3 linked regions of the Macaca fascicularis genome follow. The protein of the gene in region 1 purifies or fractionates together with the protein of each later gene. This does not show direct contact. Links are inferred from orthologs where the notes say so. Each region holds a gene or a part of one and is shown in the gene's direction. Other genes may lie near its edges.

Region 1 (6,846 bases):
AGAAATATGTGGCATCAAATATTTAGACTTTTAAGGAAATAAGCAAGCCAAATGATTAGGCAAGAGAACGTTGTAGTTTATCCACTACCACCCCCGGCCCCCCAGTCACTTCTTCAATTCAGCTTGGAGTGCTGGACCTCCCCCTGACTAATCACTTCATGTCTCTGGACCTCAGTTTCATCAAGAGTCAGGTGAGGGAGTTGTACTTCATGATGCAGCCCTGCCATTCTGAGTCTAAATGCCTCTTTCCCCACAAATTCAGTTCTACAAATAATGTTGAGCACCCAAGCTAGGAATACAAAGACATCCCAGCACCTGCCTGAAGGAATTTCTGAAGCTTGGGGTATAGACATAACATACACAAATGTGACACAAGGCACACTATGACAAGTGTCTTCAGGGAAGTCTGAAGAGAGTTTCGTGAGAGAGGAGGTGAAAGAGAGGGAGTGCCACACCTGTAGCATAGAGGGCAGGCAAGGCTTAGTTTTTAGGAGGCACAGAGGATCTTAACCTGTACAGTGAGGAGGGGAAGGGTGTGCTGGAGGAAGGGGCCGGGGGATTAAAGAGGCAGAAAAGCTTGGGTCAGGGTTCTCTTAGTTGGCTTGGACTGGGGAAGCAATGGGAAGCATAGCAGGACAGAGTAGGTGGAGGCCTAGCATGTGGAGGTCCTCTTCCGACCTCTGTTCCTAGTGTCTGTGTCCCTCATTTGGCAGTTGGGCTCCAATGCCATTTGATTCCTGGATTTAGTTGGTTCCATGCAAATGTTTATGAATGAATAAATATGTGTTTAAGTCAAGCGTGTGTGATAGATAATACCGTCTTTACCCTCCTACCTGCTCATTGCTGCTAGGGATTGGGTTCTATATTTAGTATGCTTTGTGCGTTAAAGGAATTCAGTAAAAGTCTGTTGGTTGAATGTTTAAAAAGTGCTAAGTTGGGCAGTCCAGTCATTATATCCTAAAATATAGGTATGGCCCATAAGTCTGTGTTACTTCTGTGAGGTTTTCCCTGACTTTGAAGTGCTCAAATAGTTCATGTTCTTGGATTTGGTGGTGGCACAGGTAGCAGATTTAAGTGCTTCTCATGGAAATACTCAGCTCAAATAAACATGTTTCCACTCCCATGATATTCTCTGAGTCAGTGTTTTCTGTGAAGCAGGGAGCCCCCTGCGTTAAATCACCTGGGCAGGGAGGTGAGGTGTGTGGTGTGTGTGGCTCTTATTAAAATGCAAGTTCCTGGGCCCCACTCTAGTGCTGTGGAATCAGCCCAGCCTCTGCAGTTTAGTGTCAGGTGATTCCTAAATCTTGAGAACCACTGCATTAAGTCTCTAGGTAAATTTGATGGCTAAACTCCATGTCTGCTTCTTTCATTTTGTAGCCATTGACTGGGTTCAGATTGATGCCAATTCCTCAGTCCTTCATGATGAGTTCATCGCTCACAGGCTTGGTGAGTACTCCTTTTATTAGAAGGGAGGGTACTGTGCCTAGTGTCAGGAGGGGGCTTCCTTCCAGCCTCACTCCCCGGAGGCTTCTGGGTTCTCATTTTGGCTTGGCTGTTTGGTTTTCTTTAAAGTGCTTTTCTGTTTTTTACAGGATTAATTCCCCTCATTAGTGATGACATTGTGGACAAGCTGCAGTACTCCCGGGTATGCTGTGTGATTGGGTGGAATGTGAGGTTTGGTGGGGAGGCCTTGGGTCTCAAAGGGATTTTTCCTGACATTTGGCATCCAGCTTGAGTAGTATTGTAGGTCTGGAACAACAATGTGGAGATGTTGTCTAGAGCCTGGGCAGGCCTTGATCCTTGGTTCTGATGGGGCTTCAGATTGATTAGCATGCAGAACATCAGGAAATGTTGTTAGCCAGCTCCACCAGATTGCCTGTTTACAGTGGAGGTTCTTCCTTCCAAAGCGTCTCTTCCCAGTAGCAGGGGCCTTAGGATGCTACAGGAGTCAACAGAAGGTTGGGGTAGGCAAGGAGCAGAGGGAATGGGAGCTGTCTCATAAGAGCAGCTTCTGGGGAACTAGTCCTGGTGTCTGCAGATTCGTGCTGTCCCCTCACTCGTAAGTGATGCTGCTTAAACATGGCCACACTCTTACCCCCTTCCTCCTGGTCGTGTTTGCTCCCTGATGGCATGTTAACAGGCCTTCATAGTTTGGAGAGAGTGGGATAGTAGTAGGTTACCTTCATCCTTTCACTAGGCTGCATTACATAGCAGCGTAAGACTACTCCCTCTTGATGGCTTTGGGTGATCCAGAATCAGTCCATTTTCTAATATTCTCAAGGGCCATGTCATTTTTGTGATGGCTATGATATATCTTATAAATATGTATTTTTTTTAAAAGAAATATTCGGCTGCATGCGGTGGCTCACGCCTGTAATCCCAGCACTGTGGGAGGCCAAGGCGGGTGGATCACAAGGTCAGGAGATCGAGACCATCCTGGCTAACACAGTGAAACCCCATCTCTACTAAAAATACAAAAAATTAGCCGAGTGTGGTGGCACGTGCCTGTAGTCCCAGTTACTTGGGAAGCTGAGGCAGGAGAATGGCGTGAACCCAGGAGGCAGAGCTTGCAGTGAGCTGAGATCGCACCACTGCACTCCAGCCTGGGTGACAGAGCAAGACTCCGTCTCAAGAAAAAAAAAAAATTCAAGCATAGAAAAGCATGGAGCTAGTGTAATAAATACCCATGCTTCCACCTAATACTAAGTTGTCACATTTTAACATTTTGCCCTATTTGTTTCAGATCTCCAGATTTTTGTTTTTTAAGAAATAAAACAGAGATATTGGTGGGGACAGTTGTACAACCAATTAAGAGCAATTTGGTGACATCTTACATAAAGAGATGCATGCTCTATCACCTAGCAGTTCCTTTCATTAAAATTTTTTCTAGTATTTATTGAACAAAGATGGCATGGTCTCTCTCTCTGGCTTTTTCTAGAATAATAAATACCCTTTTACTTTTCACCTATAGTTACCAATTATTAATATTTTACATTTGCTTTATTTTTCATATGCATGTTGCTATTTTTGCTGAACTGTGTGAAAGTTGCAGACATCCTAACACTTCTAAATACTTCAGCATGCATTTCCTAATAAGAATAGTTTCCTACTACATAACCACACTTTTATTGTGCCTAAGAAGGTTAGCATTAATCTGTAATATCAATATTCAAATTTTCCTAGTTTTTCCCCAAATGTCCTTTATTGCTTTTCTGTTTGTTTGTGGGTCAGTCTTGATCCAGTCAAGATTCATTTGGTCCTTATAGCACTTTAATCTCTTTTCATCTCAAACAGACTCCTCTCCTTTCAGTACATTTTTTTTTTTTTTTGAGATGGAGTCTCACTCTGTCGCCCAGGCTGGAGTGCAGTGGCACTATCTCAGCTCACTGCAAGCTCCGCCTCCTAGGTTCACGCCATTCTCCTGCCTCAGCCTCCCGAGTAGCTGGGACTACAGGCGCCTGCCACCACGCCCGGCTAATTTTTTTGTATTTTTAGTAGAGATGGGGTTTCACTGTGTTAGCCCAGATGGTCTCGATCTCCTGTCCTCTTGATTCACCCGCCTCAGCCTCCCAAAGTGCTGGGATTACAGGTGTGAGCCACCGCGCCCGGCCTCAGTACATTTTTTTAGGTTGAATATCTTTTCATATTTTTATCTTCCATTACATTTTGATTCTCCCATTTCATATTTCTTTTTCTGTTTTTTCAGACAGGTCTCACTCTCTCACCCAGGCTGTAGTGCAGTGGCATGATCTCGGCTCACTGTGACCTCAGCCTCTGGGCTCAAATGATTCTCCTGCTTCAGCCTCCCAAGTAGCTGGAACTACAGGTGCTGTGCACCACCACACCCAAAAAATACAATTTTCTTGTATTTTTTGTAGAGACAGGGTCTTGCCATATTGTCCAGGCTAGTCTCGAACTCTTGGACTCAAGCGATCCTCCCACCTCAGCCTCCCAAAGTGCTGAGATTACAGGTGTGAGCCACTGTGCCCAGCCCCATTTCATATTTCTAAAAGTGATTCTGTCTCAAGGTTCTGGGTTACCTTCATACCTCACCTGTGTGTGACTGTAGAGGACCCAGGTGGGTCCTCTAGCTGCTGCTTCTTCCTTATCATGCAAACATCAAAAGAATGTTGGGTTTTCCTCACTGGTGTGAGGGAGAGAACAGCTTGCTTGATTGCATCCTAGTAACTGTCTTCTTGCCTGAAGTGGAACTGCAATTAATAGTCCCTAACTTGGGAATGAGTCAGTTGTTTTAAGAATGGCAAAATGTTAATAATTATGGAAGGTGGTTATATATGAAATTTTCCATAATAGAAAGGATTTTTTAGAAAAGGTGAGTAGTCTAGAACTTGAAAGGTACTTTTTTCTGTTCCTTGGTGGTTTTATTTTAAATGATGGTTACATTCCTAAGCTGGTCCTCTTAGTTCTTGGGAAGCTGAACTATAGAGTGTGAAAGCATCCTCCTCTGCCTCATAGCCTTGGTTATCTGAGGAAGAGTAGTTCAAGAGCCAGAGGGAGATGTTAGCAGTGTGTCTCCAGAGGTGGCCTTGCAGCTGGTGGGAGTGGGAAGGAAATGTGGGTGCCAATGTATGTATAAGTTGTCTCTAAACTTGGGCAGTCCATGAGAATGGTATACCAGATTGTAACAGCCCACAAGAACCTGGAGACTGACGAACCCCTTTTTACAGGTGAAGAAACTTAAGGAACTGGGCATTAGATGCAGGGAACCAAGACAAGGAGCCAAGGCAGGAGTTGCCATCTCCCTGTAAACTCATTCCTGCTTCTCTTCCTACCTTAGGACTGCACATGTGAGGAGTTCTGCCCCGAGTGCTCAGTGGAGTTCACCCTCGACGTGCGGTGCAATGAAGACCAGACGCGACATGTCACCTCTCGAGACCTCATCTCCAACAGCCCCCGGGTCATTCCGGTCAGTGCAGGAGAGCAGCCTCTTTTCCCTGGGATCTTTTCTCTTCTTTTGCTGGCTCCAGGTGGGCTAGACTGGGGTTGATCCTTATCAAATGTTGGCATTCCCTGTTACCTTCTGCCTTAATCTGATCCCTAGAAGTGCTAATTCTAGATTCTTCTTGGGCATCATTGCATGGTTAGCATTGTTGCTGCTGCACACCCTCTGTCACCCAGGGACCCTTTTAAAGGCCATGGAATTGTTCTGCCTGAGGCCATCACCACACCATGAAGTGGGGTTGGAGTCCTGGGGGCATCTGTGCCACCACCTCGTCAGGTGCTCCTTCCCTGATTGACAGATTGCAGTCTAGAAGTGCTGGGATATGGATGCCAGAGGAGGTGACTGGGGAGGTGAGCAACTAATGAATGCCTGGTGGACTCCCTACAGGTGACATCCCGGAACCGAGATAATGACCCCAATGACTACGTGGAGCAGGATGGTGAGTCTTCCTGATCTGTCACTCTGTGGGCCAGCGGGAAGCAGAGACCAGACACAGCCTCTCGTGCTGCCTGGTCTCCTCGCAAATTGGCTTTAGACCCATTTTTCCAGATGTGTGTGGTCTTGCAGTGGCACTCCAAGTCAGAATTTGGAGAACCATGTCTCTCCTGGACCTTGACTGACTTGTGCCTCTCCCTGCAGACATCCTCATCGTCAAGTTGAGAAAGGGCCAGGAGCTGAGACTTCGAGCCTATGCCAAAAAGGGCTTTGGCAAGGAGCATGCCAAGTGGAACCCTACTGCAGGGGTGGCTTTTGAATACGATCCAGACAATGCCCTGAGGCACACAGTGTACCCCAAGCCTGAGGAATGGTATGTTCCCCTTAGGAGTGATGGCAGGCATTTGGGGTGGGTGTGTCATAGAAATGGCTGCTGCTGACTGAGAGGTGGCAGGCTCTCTAGGAACTTGGGTGCCTCAAAAGCAGCAGTGGCAACGTTGTGCTGACCTGTGTTTGACCTCAGGCCAAAGAGTGAGTACTCAGAGCTGGATGAGGATGAGTCGCAGGCTCCCTATGACCCCAACGGCAAGCCAGAAAGGTAAGAGCCTGCCCGGATATGGGAAGGTAAAGTGTGTAAGAAGGGATGGTTTTGGTTCAGGCCATGAGTTAGGCGTCCCTCTTCCCGACCTCGTAGTTCTCACAAGCTGAGGAGGGCTGCTGACTGCTAAACCAGACCTGTGGTATGTGCACATCCCGGGGCAGGCTGTCAGCCCCCTTTTGGTCACTGTGACAAAGAGGAACCTCCAGTTATCCAGGTTGTTCCTATTCTGATTTTCAGCCCCCAAAGAAGAGATCCTTCAGGTCAATGCTAGGGGCAGAGATTGGGACCCAAGTTCCACAGGGGTGACTGTGAAAGAGCTGTCACTGGTCACTGCTCACTTGGTTTTCCACTCTCTCCTCAGTGGGGCATGCGTACATACAGAACTTTAGGATTTTCACAGGTACCTTATGAGGTAGTTGTAGCCTCCTTGCAGTCGTGCAAAGTGTGTTGAAACTACCCTATGTAAGAGGTTTTAGACGAAAGGAAGTCAGCCCTGGCCCAAGGTCAAGTTCCATGTGGGAACAGAGCCAAGACCCGGAAGGAGGGAGGGTTGTCCGTGGCCAGAGCTCGGGTCGGCCACCCTGCCTCACAGGGCACTCACTGGACTCTTGCCTCCTAGGTTTTACTACAACGTGGAGTCCTGTGGCTCTCTGCGTCCTGAAACCATTGTCCTGTCAGCCCTCTCTGGATTGAAGAAGAAACTGAGTGATTTACAAACTCAATTAAGCCACGAGATCCAGAGTGATGTGCTAACCATAAATTAACTGCAGCTTGCCTGCTTCAGCAAAAACGGACATTCAGGCCAGCAGCTGGATATGGGGGTCTCTCTTCTAGTTTCTGAGAATCT
Region 2 (6,953 bases), on another chromosome or scaffold:
CCAGCTGGACTGAAGATACTCTGCACTTGACCTCCTGACACTAACTTCTTTGCCTCTTCCCGTGGCAAGAGCAAATCATGGACTCTGAGCTACTTCCTCTCCCTTTCTACTATTTATTTTATTTTATTTTATTTTTGAGATGGAATCTCACCCTGTCACCCAGGCTGGAGTGAGGTGGTGTGCTCTTGGCTCACTGCAACCTCCGCCTCCTGGGTTCAAGCAATTCTTCTGCCTCTGCCTCCCAAGTAGCTGGGAATACAAGTGCCCACCATCACGCCCAGCTAATTTTTGTATTCTTAGTAGAGGTGGGGTTTCACCATGTTTGCCAGGCTGGTCTCTTAACTCCTCACCTCAAATGATCTGCTCACCTCGGCCTCCCAAAGTGCTGGGATTATAGGTGTGAGCCACTGCACCCAGCCCTTCCTCTCCCTTTCTCTTTGGGATTCCCCTCACTAACAGGTGAGGCAGCTTTTTCAAGGGCATTCCAAGCACAAAAGACCTTGTTGTACCTAAATACTATAAGGGACCTGTCATTGAGGACGAACCATCACAGCAAGAGTAGTTATCTTGTGCCGCATCTTTGCATAACTGACAGGATTCCTGGCAAGGATGTCTCAATGCAGAAAGTTGGCTAAGTGAACTGCAGTATCCACCCTGGACCTAAGAGAACTTGCTAATGTTTTCAAGACTGCTGTTCAGTGGTTATCTGATTCAATCTTTGCATTTACAAAAGCACCCTTTTACATATATTAAATGTGGAATAAAACTATCCGTGTGTGTTTTGTGTATCCTGGTGTATATAGTATTATATTTTATGAAGTATTTCATTCATTCTGGAAATAGCTGTTGAGACCCATGGTGTACCAGATCTGTAGAAACTGAAATGCATTCATGTGTCTGGGGGTGTGTGTAACACTACCGTGTATTTGATGAAACTTTCATTGACTTACTCCACAAATATTATTTTTCTGTCTACTGGGGATACCAAAAAGAGCCAGTGCCCTTGAGGAACTCAGTCATGTCAATGCTTCTTAGTTTTTAAAAAACAGGTAAGTTGAGTACTTTCCAATGTTTATTTTTCAAGACAGTCTTGCTCTGTCACCCAGGTTGGAGTACAGCGGCATGATCTCAGCTCACTGAAGCCTCTGCCTCCTGGGTTCAAACAATTCTTTTGCCTCAGCCTTCCAAGTAGCTGGGATTACAGGTGCCACCATGCCCGGCTAATTTTTGATTTTTTGGTAGAGAAGGGGTTTCACCATTCTGGCCACGCAGGTCTTGAACTCCTGACTGCAAGTGATCTGCCCACCTCGGCCTCCCAAAGTGCTGGGATTACAGGCATGAGCTACCAGGCATAAGCCACCATGGCTGGCCCCACATTTTGTTTGTTTTTGTTCATTTGAGACAGAGTCTGTTGCCCAGCCCGGAGTGCAGTGGTGCAATCTTGGCTCACTGCAACCTCTGCCTCCCGGGTTCAAGCAATTCTCCTGCCTCAGCCCCCTCTAGTAGCCAAGATTACAGGTGCGCGCCACCACGCCCAGCTAATTTTTGTATTTTTTGTAGAGATGGGGTTTCACCATGTTGGCCAGGCTAGTCTCGAACTCCTGAGCTCAAGTGATCCACCCGCGTCAGCCTGCTGAAGTGCAGGGATTACAGGCTTGAGCCACCACTCCCGCCCAAATGTTTCTTAAAATAACTTGACCCATGCAAAATAAATTGTCTCCTATGTAATCCTTTATTTAAAAAAAAAAAAAAAAAAAAGATACTGTACATCCGAGTTAGAAATTGAAAGGCAAGACCAGAATATGCCTGAGGAAGGCTTTGTTTATTTTGCTTATCAGAAATGAGATAAAGAATTATCTCCGAATGGGCCAGTTTCCAACTTGGACCATGTACACCATATACACAATGCTCCGCATTCTGGGAGGGGTGAGGTTGGGAGCAGTAAATGACAAGTGTTTTGCCCGTGTTTCTTTTCTCCTCCAAGTGGATGTAAAACTTTTCACATGTGCAGAAGCACGCAACTATAGCCACGTGCAGAAGCAGCCGTTTTTGCAAATGAAAACATTTCCCAGAAGCACAACAAATACAAGACTAACAGGTGCCAGGCAGCGCCAAGGCACACATGTGGTTCTCATCAGCCGTCTTCCTCCTGTTTTAAATCTAGGTCTTCCTGTAACAGTGGGGAAAAAAAAGATTTCTCCCGAGGCCGCCGAGCTTGCCTTTCCACCCCGTCTCACAACAGCATTTCCAACAGAGTTCCCAGAGAGAGGGGAGCAATTACAGAAGGCAATAAGTAGGGTGGAGGGAGGAGGGGCGCCCTTAAACTTGACACCTGCGGTTCTGGGCTTAACCCCGAAGTCTAGGTGACCTTGGGCCTCCGTTTCCTCCTGTGACGTGTTTGGTTAAGAGAATGAGCATCTCAGTTTTACAGCACCTCCAGGCAGAGGCGGGTAGAAGGGTCTTTCAATCACGGGGTTTTCTGCCGGTAGCGGGGCGGGGGGACTGTGCCCCAACAAGGGATGGCGGCAATGACTGCAGACTGGGGGAGGGGGCGCTTCTGAGGCCAGAAATGCCGCTCAACTTTCGACAGATCGCGGGACCCGCCCCAACGACAGAGCAATATCGCCCAAATGCCAGTGGCGCCGAGGTGGAGAAGCCGCGGCGTAGACGCAGATTTGCAACCTCCGGCTTTCCAGCGTTCCCAGCTACGGGGGGCGGCTTCTTTGCCGCCTCACGTTTTCGCGATCGGGGTCGCGCGTGGCGATGCAGACCCCCGCCCGTCACCACACCCATTCCCACACTCTCTAAGGGGCGGGGGCGGCCGCGGCGACACCCCTGGACTCCTCCGATGACCCTTCCGTGCGCAGAATCACAACGTGGACGTCTGCTTCCCTCGCCCTCACAAAAACTTCGGCAGCTGCTCAGCCTGCGACTCTCATCCCCCAGTCACGCGCCGGGAAGGCTCTCCTAGAGGAAGGATTTTCCCGCCGCCCTCCCTGCCCTGAGGTAGCCGCCGCGAGCGTCCGGGTTCAAGGACTCTTTGCGCGCGCGCTTCCGTCAGAAAGCCCCGCCCCGCGACCCGGGCGGGGGCGGGGTCTCCAGGCAGCGACCGTTGCCCCGCCCAACCTCCTCCCAACGGCTGCCTAGGCCGGGCGGCGGGGCGGGGCGGCACAGGCGGGTGAGTGCGCCTGCGCGCGCGTGCGCGGAGGCGCGGGGCGGGGCGCACGGGCAGCCCCGCCCATGCCTGGCGTCTCCGCCCGTCCCATCTCCCAACCTCCTCAGCGTGGCGCCGACGCTGCGTGCGGCGCGGACTACCCAGAGTACTCCGCGCGGGGGCAGCTCACTGGAGTTTGGTTCTCGAGGCGGCGGCAGCAAGCGGCGGCGGCTCCGGCGGCTCCTCCTCCTCCGGTGGCGGCGGCGGCCCGGGACCGAGACCCGGCCCCGGCTCCCCTCTCCGCCACCCCGCGCGCACCTAACCCTCCGGCGCCGCGGGGAACATGCGGCTCCGGCTCCCGGAGGCCGGCGAGTGAGTGACCCCCGTCCCCCGCCTCAGCCCGCCCGCCCGCTGGCCCGGCCGCAACCCCCGCCTCGCCCAGGCAATGACAGCGGCTCCGGCGTCTCCGCAGCAGATCAGGGACCGGCTGCTGCAGGCCATCGACCCCCAGAGCAACGTAAGTACCCGCCGCGCGAGCTGGGACGGAGGCCGCATGGGCCTGGGACCCTCCCCCTCTCCTGTCCCCCTCGCCCACCGGGCTTCGGGGGACCCGTCTGGCGCCCACCTCCCCTCGAGGGCCGCTGCCATCTCTGCCTCTCACTCCTCGGGCCCGGGCCGGGGGCAGGTCGGGCAGCCCGGCAGCGCTTGGTACGTGAGGCCGAGGCTTCCGTGCGGCCTGGGCGGAGGAAGCAGACGGGGGGCTAAGGGTAGAGTTTATCTCCCCTTTCTGCTCCAGCTCTATGACCCTCACTGCTCTGGACGAAGCTGCCCTGCATCGCCCTCCCTCCGGGACCTGAGACCCCCGGGAAGCCCTCCCGGAGCGGGGGAGGGGAGGGAGAAGGGCTGTGAAGCAACTGGTGTCCGGGGTATGACTCGGGGAGCCTGTGTCTCCCATGTCTTAGCCTTCTGGGTTATGAGAGAAGTCCTTCCCCCTCCTCCCGGCTGGCAGCACCTTCCTGGCTTCGGAGAGAACCCCCAGTGTGTTTTGCCCCTGGCCGGGTACCCAGGGTACGTGGAGAGTCTGTCTCCCTTCTGTGACTGGACACGCCTTCGCCAAAACCCTCTTGGGGTCGCTGCCAGCGACAGATGATTTCGGGGAGGGTGGGATCCTTCCTGTTGCCTTTCTGGGCCTCAGTACCCATTGCGTCTCTGACCAAGCCAGAGCTCCATTTTTTTGGGTAGTGAATTAAAGAGGACTTTTCTCTCCCGTTTACCCAAGAGCCCTGTTTCAGTAGGCTCTTTCCCTCACCTGGGGGTCTCAGCCTGGTGGCTATTGACCCAGACTGTCAGGGTTAACTCCAGGGTGTCGCTTCCTCGGGTGCCCCTTTGCTGAGGCTACTGTTGGCGGAGGGACCGCCCCTTCCCCCTCCGTATGTGTGGCTGTGTATCTGTGTGTGTGTATGTGTGTTGTTGCGGGGGTGGGGTGGGGGTGGGAAGACTGATCTATTCTCATATTTTCTCCAAGAGTTTCTTGGCAGTAGGGGTCATACTTCCCGCGGCAGGAGCAGGGCGGTGGGAAGATGCAGTAGCATCCAGGTATGAAGTGAGGCCCTGCTTCCCAGGAAGTGGCCATTGAGATCACTTTTTAATATGCTGTGAATGGAAGAAAAAAATCATCTTTGGCTTGGCCAGGTAACTCAGGTTTCTCTCACCGTAGGGGTTTTTACTTGTAGTTTTACATGAGCTTGGCTGATTACTCTTAGCAGTATGCTTAACTCTGATGATGTTTTTGGAATAATTCACGTTGACTTATACAATTTTTGGTAAGATTGAAGGGTTATGAGTTTTTTTCTAAGGCCCTGTTTTTGCTGTGATATAAGTACTTCTCTTATCCCTGGTATTCAGGTCCCATTAACATTGACTTGATGGTAATTGTCTTTAACAAATGTTATATTATACATTTTTGTTATGACTTTGGGGGTGGAGTGGGCACAAGCTATATAAAACCTTCTCGAATGTCCTTTTTGCAGTAACTGGTGCCACTGCAATTTTAAGATTGAAATATTAGAGGATAAAACTAGTGACATGAAAAAAATAGCCTTGGTGACTTGTACATCTTTTGTGGAGCCAGAAGGTAATTTTTTGAATTTCACGCACTCGCTTTCCTTCTGGAGAGTCTGAGAGGTTGCTGAGATATTAGCACTGATCCTTAATGCCACCTCAGAGAGCTTTGGGATCAGGCGGCACTTTGACAGGCGATCACAGTGTTGTAGATTAGGTCACTCCAGTGACCTCACAGTTTCCAGTATTGTGTAAGGCTCTAATCAAAAGGGTTCCTTGAGGCAGAAGAAAAGAGGACGGAACAAATCTTAGTTTTGTGTGTCTCAGCTCATGCAGAAATGTTATATAGGTCCCTGGTTATGTTACCTGACATGGAATTTGCATTTCATATCGCTTATTTTCAAGGACTTTGGTGATGATCTTGGGCAGAGTCCTACTAACATGGGGTGGATGGATTTGGGAAATTATCTTCTTGATTATGAGCAATGAGGAAAGTGCCTCCTTTGTGATTGATCCTCTGAGCGCTGTTATGGGCCGTTTGACAGGACCGTTCGCTTTGAGCAAACACCATGCAGAAACAGAGCTGCAGTGGACGGGGTTTGCTGGCGGAGGTGGTGGTGAGAGCTGGGCATGTCAGTGTGTCTGCAGTTTCTCTCGGATCAATGTGGGCTCAGGTGAGAGCAGGTGGCTCCAGCACAGGTGCTGCCGGTGTGCCGGTCTCTCCTCTCTGCCCTGCCCAATGATGAATTCCACTACTGGATATTTAGTTGACACATATTTAAGATGCTCGTGGAAAAAAAAAAAAAAAACGGGGACAGTGTTGAAGAGCCAACACTAAAATTAAACCTCTTCTGAGAGAAGCGGCAGAGAATTGTGTCATGTAATGCTTACCTTTATGGGCATGCAATTATGGTTAACAAACTTAGCTATTGCTTGCAAAATCAGTGTCAGGAACTGACCTAATATCCAAAAGTATCTGGAAAGTTAGGGAAGTGACGAAGTCGTGTTTACCAACCATCTCCTTGACAAAGAAATTCTTACGAGGAAAGTTGTTTCTGTGCTCTTTTAGCCCCTGGAGTATGCATTTGAATTCCTATAGCAGCAGGCTCAGAGTTAATAATTTCTGCCAATTCAGTAATAAAGTAAATCCTCTACTCTCCTTTTCAAAAGGCTACTAACGGTTTTTCAGAGCAGTCGGAGCTTTTCTTTTCGTTGTGCACCCTTTCAGCCCAGGGTGTTGAAAATCTCTCCGAAGCGCAGTGTGTGCATGATTGTTCCAGCTTACTCTCGCTGCATTGTGGGTAAAGTGAAGGACTGTGTCTTACTCTCGCACAGCAGTCGTAGTGAGCAGTCTCCTCAGCAGGTGATTCGGTTCCCATCTGCCTGGGACACTCTTTGTTTTGTGGAGGTACGAGCTTTATCTTCCTGTGCGGCACACAAGCTTCTTGGGATGTTTCATGTCTTGTCTTCTCCCTCTAGAGCAGAAGCATTTGGCACACTTTCTATCTGCTGCTTAAACTGACTGAACCCTAGCATCCATCTTGGACCTGTGCCTGAGGAGCTACATGTGAACCCCATTTTACTAGGAAGCCTTTGTAACTGCTTTATGCCCAAAAGTACAGTCGTGGAATATTCTAATGCAGAACTTTGGAGAGGGAAGGAGTCACAGGTGACTTGAGACGCTACTCAGTAGAACTGTGAGGAATATGGATGTTAAGTGATGATTAACAAACTTAGC
Region 3 (6,949 bases), on another chromosome or scaffold:
TCAGCTTTAATGAAACCAGCACAGGCAGTATTTTTCTGATATCCGCTTGCAACATTATGAAGTCAGCTTTACTCTTTGCCACTAATTATATTAACTATTTTTAGGGCAAACTGTCAATGCACCATACTGGTTCATGCTTCCTAGGTTTTCAATTTATTTTCTTTAGCCATATCTATTTATACCTCAAGTGTTTTTCTTTTAAGAGTCATCCTCATTTTCCTGACAACGATATAGTTGTGGCTCATAATTAAGTTATAAAACATGCTGGGAGGCCAACGATGACGTGTGATTGCCATGGGGGATATTATTGATGAATATTGGATTGGTTTTTGAATTCTGAATTCAAACCCACTTTAACATTTTGAATCATAAAGTTACAGAACTGGTAGGGACCCGAAGTCTCTTTAGCGTTGGTTAAGATCATAGGCTTGGAGTCAGCAAGCAGCGTGGACCCTTAGGCTGGGATCTTAACCATTGTAAGTCTTAGTTTTCTTGTCTAGAAAATGGGGATCCTGACATCCATGTTCTAGACCTCTTTTTGTGGATTGAGACAGTGACTGTAACTCTGTTCCCTGTATCTACTTTTATTCCATGGTAGTTGTGGTAATTACTATTATTATTATTATTACTATTACTATATTATCTTTCCCCAGATGACTCTAAGGGTATACAGTCTCTTCAAGCACATCTGGCCCTATTCTAACAGGCCTTTTTCTCCTCCATGCTCTACCAGAACTCCTGGACTTTCCCTTAGTTGGAGAGGTTCATGGTTAGAAGGAAGAAAACCCTGCAACCCACTGCCTCCCTTTGCTCTCTCTCTGGGGCATCGTGGGCAGCTCTTGCTGCAGAGAGCTGTGCTGAGGCCCTTTACCTGTACAGCGGACCCTCCAACAGCACTTCTGTCTATGGTCCTACTGGGCAAGGATCTGCCTCCACACAGCCCTCCCAATGTGCCTGAAAATATCAGCAGTGATCCTTTCCCTGGCCACCTTGCTCTTAAGGCTCCTGTTCATAGTACTATGTGGATGTGGACCTCCTCGCCTCTCTGCACTGCCCATGATGGTGGATTACAGCAGAATGGGCTCGCCAGTTGACAGCTTTCCCCACTCATGTCTTCTAACTAGCTAAGCTTAGGGTGGCTGTCCCCATTGCGCAGAAAATTGCTACTTAGCCCTCATAGCAAACTTGTTTTGAGAAGCATAACCATAAACCCATCTTTGGCCTATGATCCTAGGGAGTCCTCATGCCAACAAGACCTTTTGGGGTCAGCCACGAATGTGAAGTTAGAATGCAGTTTAGGCTCTGCCATGACTCTGAACTAAATATGATTTTAGGGGTGAGGAAACTGGGACCTAGGGGTTTGAGGAACTGGCCCGAAGGTATGGAGCGTACCTGACTTTGTCGTTCTTCCAGGATATGATATTTATTCCTGGCACGAATCCCCTCTACCTTGTATTGAAAGCAAGGACAGCCTCCCTGCAACCACACATTACACCTGGCCATCCAGCAGGTGCATACTAAAAGTGTGTTGAGTTGAATTATCAGACTCTCAGCAGCCATGCAGCACTGAAGGGACCGCAATCCCTTTGCCTCTGCGTCCTTAGGGCTAAGCAGGAGGTCTCGATGTCTCGCACTGTGGGCCGGGCCGGGTTTGGTGCCTCAGCCAGCAGGTAAGTGCTGTCTACGCCTCCTGCAGGTCCAGTGGTTCCTCTCCAGACTTGGGTGCACTGGGCCAGGCTGCGCCTTACTGACCTCAAGGCTTCCTGTGTTTGTGGCTTTGGGGCCCTCTTCATCGTGTGAATAGGAATAAGAAGATTGTTATTTATGGCCAGGTGCGGTGGCTTGCGCCTGTAATCTCAGCACTTTGGGAGGCCGAGGAGGGCGGATCACCTGAGGTGGGGCGTTCGAAACCAGCTTGATCAACATGAAGAAACCCCGTCTCTACTAATAATACAAAATTAGCCGGGCGTGGTGGTGTATGCCTGTAATCCCAGCTACTTGGGAGGCTGAGGGAGGAGAATCACTTGAACCCGGGAGGCGGAGGTTGCTTTGAGCCGAGATCACGCCACTGCACTCCAGCCTGGGCAACAAGAGCGAAACTCCGTCTCAAAAAAAAAAATTGTTATTTCTGAAATAAATCCCCTATTTCTCACTATTTAATAATATTTAAATAATTTTGGGTCTTGACTCAACCCAAAACCAGGCACCCCAGACCCACCCACGGCCCGTCGCCTAGCAACAGTCTCCCCACCCCGCCTCCGCCCCGTTGCCGGCCGAGTGCCCAGTGCGCATGCTCAGAGCCTTCCTCCACGCTGCGCCCCTGCAGGGCGCGCGGTGGTGACGTATAGAGTTCGCGACGCTGTCGGCGACCCGACCTCTGGGTTAACCTAACCCCGGAGCCATGGCCTCTGCTGGGGTGGCAGCCGGGCGACAGGCGGAGGATGCATTGCCGCCAACGTCCGACCAGCCGCTGCCTGACACCAAGCCGCTGCCGCCCCCTCAGCCGCCGCCTGTCCCTGCGCCTCAGCCGCAGCAGTCGCCGGCGCCACGGCCTCAGTCACCTGCCCGCGCGAGGGAGGAAGAGAACTACTCCTTTTTACCTTTGGTTCACAGCATCATCAAATGGTAAGAACCTAGGAGAGGACCAGGCCCCATACTCCCTCCAGCTTCTCGTCTCAGCCGTTTCAGAGCTTCAAGAGGCCTTGGCGCTCTAGGGCACGCCCCCGTTTCGCAGATGGGGAAACTCAGACCCAGAGCGGGAAGAGGCCTTTCCCAAGACCACAGAGACATTCCATGAGTTAAGCAAACGATTTGAGCCCCGAGAGGTGCGATATCCTTAAGAATGAAGCCAGCTTAGAGACTACATACAGACTCTTGTCCAGCGGCTCAAACGTGCATCCCATCGATCTTGAGCAAATTAAATCTCTTTAAGCCTCAGTTTTCTCACCTTTAATGTTAGTAATACTCACTTTAGTTCCTTATTTCAACAGACTCAACAGATAAGCATCATCTTCCCTGTGTGGGACACTGCCAAGTGCTATGGGATGGACACAGTAAAAGGGGCATAGAAGGAAAAAAAAGACATGATTGGGAATAACCCATAATTCAAAAAGATTGAGAGGGGAGCGGTGGCGATGGGAAATATTAGACTAAGCAAAAACACAGAAGTTGCCTGAGATGATTAGACCCACCTGTACTGACTTTGTTCTAACAGTACCAAAGGAGATAATTGTCATCCTTTTGGCCAGCCTTTAGGGTAGCCTGAGTTTTCAAAGTGACTCTGTAAAGGAAAAACCAAAAACAAAAGCACGAAAGTCTTACTGATCCCCGTGTTTGCCTAAATTATTATACTGATCCCCGTGTTTGCCTAAATTATTATTTTTTTTGAGACAGGGTCTCGCTCTGTCACCCGGACTGGAGTACATTGGCGTGATCTCGTCTCACTGCAGCCTCAACCTCCAGGCCTCAAGCCATCCTCCCACCTCAGCCTCCCAAGTAACCGGAACCACAGGCATGAGCCACAGCACCCAGCGAATTTTTGTACTTTTTGTAGAGATGGAATTTAGTCGTGTTGCCTAGGCTGTAAATTATTTTCATTATGTTACTTCACTCTATATCCACGTGATAGTAGGTGTAAACCCTTAGGCTTATAACTCTTATTCAGCCATTAAAGACCACAAAGTAAATTAAAAGAAAATTACGAATCCAGTAACATTCAGGTGAACATGAATGTGCTCTTCACTGTTTTACTGAAACGGAATTGTTACAACGTGAAGGTCTTGACCGTTAGTGGCCCACCCACTTTTGAGTTTAAGCAAACTAGATTCACTTGCTGTGGGATGACCTGATGCTCTTCTGCCACTTTTCAAATAACTACAAAGGCTTTGTTCTCACATTAGACCCTGGCTTCATTTGGCTTCACTTGGTGTTTACTGTTTATAAGGGCCGGGCGTGGTGTCTCATGCCTGTAATCCAAGCACTTTGGGAGGCCAAGGCAGGCGGATCACGAGGTCAGGAGTTTGAGACCAGCCTGGCCAACATGGTGAAACCCTGTCTCTTACTAAAAACAAAAATTAGCCAGGTGTGGTGGTGGGTGCCTGTAATCCCAGCTAATCGGGAGGCTGAGGCGGGAGAATCACTTGAACCTGGGAGGTGGAGGTTGTATTGAGCCGAGATCATGCCATTGCACTCCAGCCTGGGCAACAAGAGCAAGACTCTGTCTCAAAAATAAATAAATAAATAAATTTAAAAAAATGTTTCTGGGATAAGACAGCCTGTTCAGTTTTTGTGAGCCTGTGATAATGATCACAGACAGAAATACATATGGAGCCCCTATAATCCCAGGGCAGTGCCGGATTATAAAGGGTTTAGTCAGATTAACCCCAGTTTACTGGTTTTAAGAAAAATGTGGAAAAAGGAAAACACAAAATGTACACATTCACAAAGACAGCTCTTGAACCCCCCAAGAGTATATTCTTGAGCCCTGGTAAAGCAGCTGGATTGGGCTGGCCTTAAAGATGTAGTAGTAAGTTATACTACAGAGAAGAGGCTTTGAAGTTAGACAGTCCTGAGTTCAAATCTGTATACTGACATTTTCATGCCTTCTAATATTGATATAAATGTCTAACCTTTCTAGGCCATAATCTTCTTATCTCTAATATGTCCATAGTGGACCTCAAAAGATAGGTTTAGATTATGTAATAGCTCTATAATGTGCTGACTGGGTGACCTGGGCAAGTAGCTTAGCTTCTCTGAGCCTGTTTTTCTCTTATGAAATGGGAATGCTTATGTCATAGGATTGTTGGGAGATGTACTCAAGAGCGTACCTGTGAAACCTAGTGGGCTGATCACATGTGCTTGTCTCTGTTTCGTCTAAAGGGACACAGAAGGGACTTAAAAAAAAAATACATAAAACCTTCAGACGCAGTGGCTCATGCCTGTAATCCCAACACTTTAGGAGGCTGAGGTGAGCTGGTCGCTTGAGCCTGGGAGTTCAAGACCAGCCTGGGCAACATGGCAAAACCCCATCCCTACAAAAAATACAAAAAAAAAAAAATTAGCCAGGCGTGGTGTGTGCCTGCAGTCCTGGCTACTTGGAAGGCTGAAGTGGGAGGATCACTTGAACCCAGATCATGCCACTGTACTTTAGCAAGGGTGACAGAACGAGACCCTATCTCAAAAATAAAAAGCATAAAACCGAAAAGAATAGGACAGGAGATGATCGCTACAAAGTGAATGACCAGTGCTAATTCATCTACCAACTCCTAAGCAGCTGGCTTGTTAAACATGGCCTACCCCCAGATCTCAGGAACTCTAGTGCAAGGACCCCCTGGAAATAGGGGTGAAGGTGGGTCTAAGAACAGGATGATTACTTGAAGTCTGTTTAAGAAGCAGTCCTGTCCCACCTCCCATCCCTTCCAAGCGGCCAGGTGACTACCCTTCTTCTAAATTGGTGGGTGGTTAAAAGGTTACTCTCCCAAGATTTATTCTTAGGAACAAATAAGCCAGAGAGTACCTGGACTGGGGGACAACAGGCACACTGCAGGGGTAGGTAGGGGGAATCATAACTGAAAAGAGGGATTAAGAGAAAGTTCGCAGTCTGAAGAGAGACCCCACTCGAGCCTTCCCCCACCTGGCTTCTAGATTGGCAGCCAAAGAGAGTGGAAGTGCCCTCTCTATCGTGTGTGACCAATTAAGAGAAAAGACATTGGAAAAAAAAAAAAAAGCCTAGTCAATTAATTCTGAGAAAATGAACAAGCATCACTCATTTGCAGAGCTTCCACTAAGCCTTTTAATGTTTTATTCTTAAACATATGAGTGGATGGCCAAGGCCACTAAGCATAGGAAGAAACCCCCTGGTAAGAAAGACACGGGTCAGGTGCGGTGCCTCATGTCTGTCTGCAAGCCCAGCACTTGGGGACGCTGAGATGGGAGGATAGCTTGAACCCAGGGAGCTGAGGCTACAGTGAGCCATGATCACACTGCTACATTTCAGCCTGGGTGACATAGACTCTGTCTCAAAGAAGAAAGAAAGAGAGAAAGAGAGGAAAAAAGAGAAAGACAAGACAGAAGAGCAGAAAAAGCCACTTGGAGGGAACAGTAGCTGCAAAGGAATGGAGTGGTTCTGCAGCTGTAAATATGAGAAGAGGCTAGGATCCAACCTGAAAACCTTCAGTATAGGCGTGTCTTTTGAGTTTATAGGCTAATGAGGGAGGAATAAGGGCAGAGGAGGAAGGGAGAGGAGACCACGTGAAGCCTGGGGGAGACAGAAGGCTTGGTGAGATTGATGCCAACATGAGTCTTCAATTAGGAAAGGGAGGCAGGAGGAAGGGTGGTATAGGAAAAACATATAAGGACACGAAGCCAAGAAATAGCATCTACTCATGGGAGTCAGCTTCTAGCTTGGTGGTGCTGAGCATACATCCAAGGCAGGAAGAGGGGACTGGGGAGGAGGGAAGAGCCAGGAAACAGTGCAGGGGTCTTCTGAGGGATGGGGAGCTAGTGCAACTGTCAGGCTGGAAGCCAGTCAAGACACAGTCGTGGCGGGCGGAGATGAGGGCTAGGATCGTGTCCAGTCCACCCAGGTGGTGCTCTCTGGCCCTGGGTCCCTTCCTTTCCTATAACTTCCCCAGTGATCCTTTTGTTATTTTTTTTTTTTTTTTTTTTGGAGACGGAGTCTCGCTCTGTCGCCCAGGCTGGAGTGCAGTGGCCGGATCTCAGCTCACTGCAAGCTCCGCCTCCCGGGTCTACGCCATTCTCCTGCCTCAGCCTCCCGAGTAGCTGGGACTACAGGCGCCCGCCACCTCGCCTGGCTAGTTTTTTTGTATTTTTTAGTAGAGACGGGGTTTCACTGTGTTAGCCAGGATGGTCTCGATCTCCTGACCTCGTGATCCGCCCGTCTCGGCCTCCCAAAGTGCTGGGATTACAGGCTTGAGCCACCGCGCCCGGC

Evidence for each region.
Region 2: the proteins of POLR2C (region 1) and MED26 purify together in Homo sapiens (affinity purification with mass spectrometry; 3 studies listed by BioGRID and IntAct, with this or other methods). This does not show direct contact. The link is inferred for Macaca fascicularis from reciprocal best matches to the Homo sapiens genes POLR2C and MED26.
Region 3: the proteins of POLR2C (region 1) and MED9 purify together in Homo sapiens (affinity purification with mass spectrometry; 3 studies listed by BioGRID and IntAct, with this or other methods). This does not show direct contact. The link is inferred for Macaca fascicularis from reciprocal best matches to the Homo sapiens genes POLR2C and MED9.

Annotation. Positions count from the first base shown.
Region 1 is NC_088394.1:53,564,786-53,571,631, forward strand, and holds part of POLR2C (DNA-directed RNA polymerase II subunit RPB3), read left to right. Parts: intron 1-1,377; coding exon 1,378-1,446; intron 1,447-1,592; coding exon 1,593-1,645; intron 1,646-4,798; coding exon 4,799-4,927; intron 4,928-5,350; coding exon 5,351-5,402; intron 5,403-5,602; coding exon 5,603-5,771; intron 5,772-5,921; coding exon 5,922-5,996; intron 5,997-6,618; coding exon 6,619-6,763; 3' UTR 6,764-6,846. UniProt on the Homo sapiens protein: Core component of RNA polymerase II (Pol II), a DNA-dependent RNA polymerase which synthesizes mRNA precursors and many functional non-coding RNAs using the four ribonucleoside triphosphates as substrates.
Region 2 is NC_088393.1:16,961,324-16,968,276, reverse strand, and holds the start of MED26 (mediator of RNA polymerase II transcription subunit 26), read left to right. Parts: upstream 1-3,342; 5' UTR 3,343-3,599; coding exon 3,600-3,671; intron 3,672-6,953. UniProt on the Homo sapiens protein: Component of the Mediator complex, a coactivator involved in the regulated transcription of nearly all RNA polymerase II-dependent genes.
Region 3 is NC_088390.1:17,576,324-17,583,272, forward strand, and holds the start of MED9 (mediator of RNA polymerase II transcription subunit 9), read left to right. Parts: upstream 1-2,367; 5' UTR 2,368-2,401; coding exon 2,402-2,625; intron 2,626-6,949.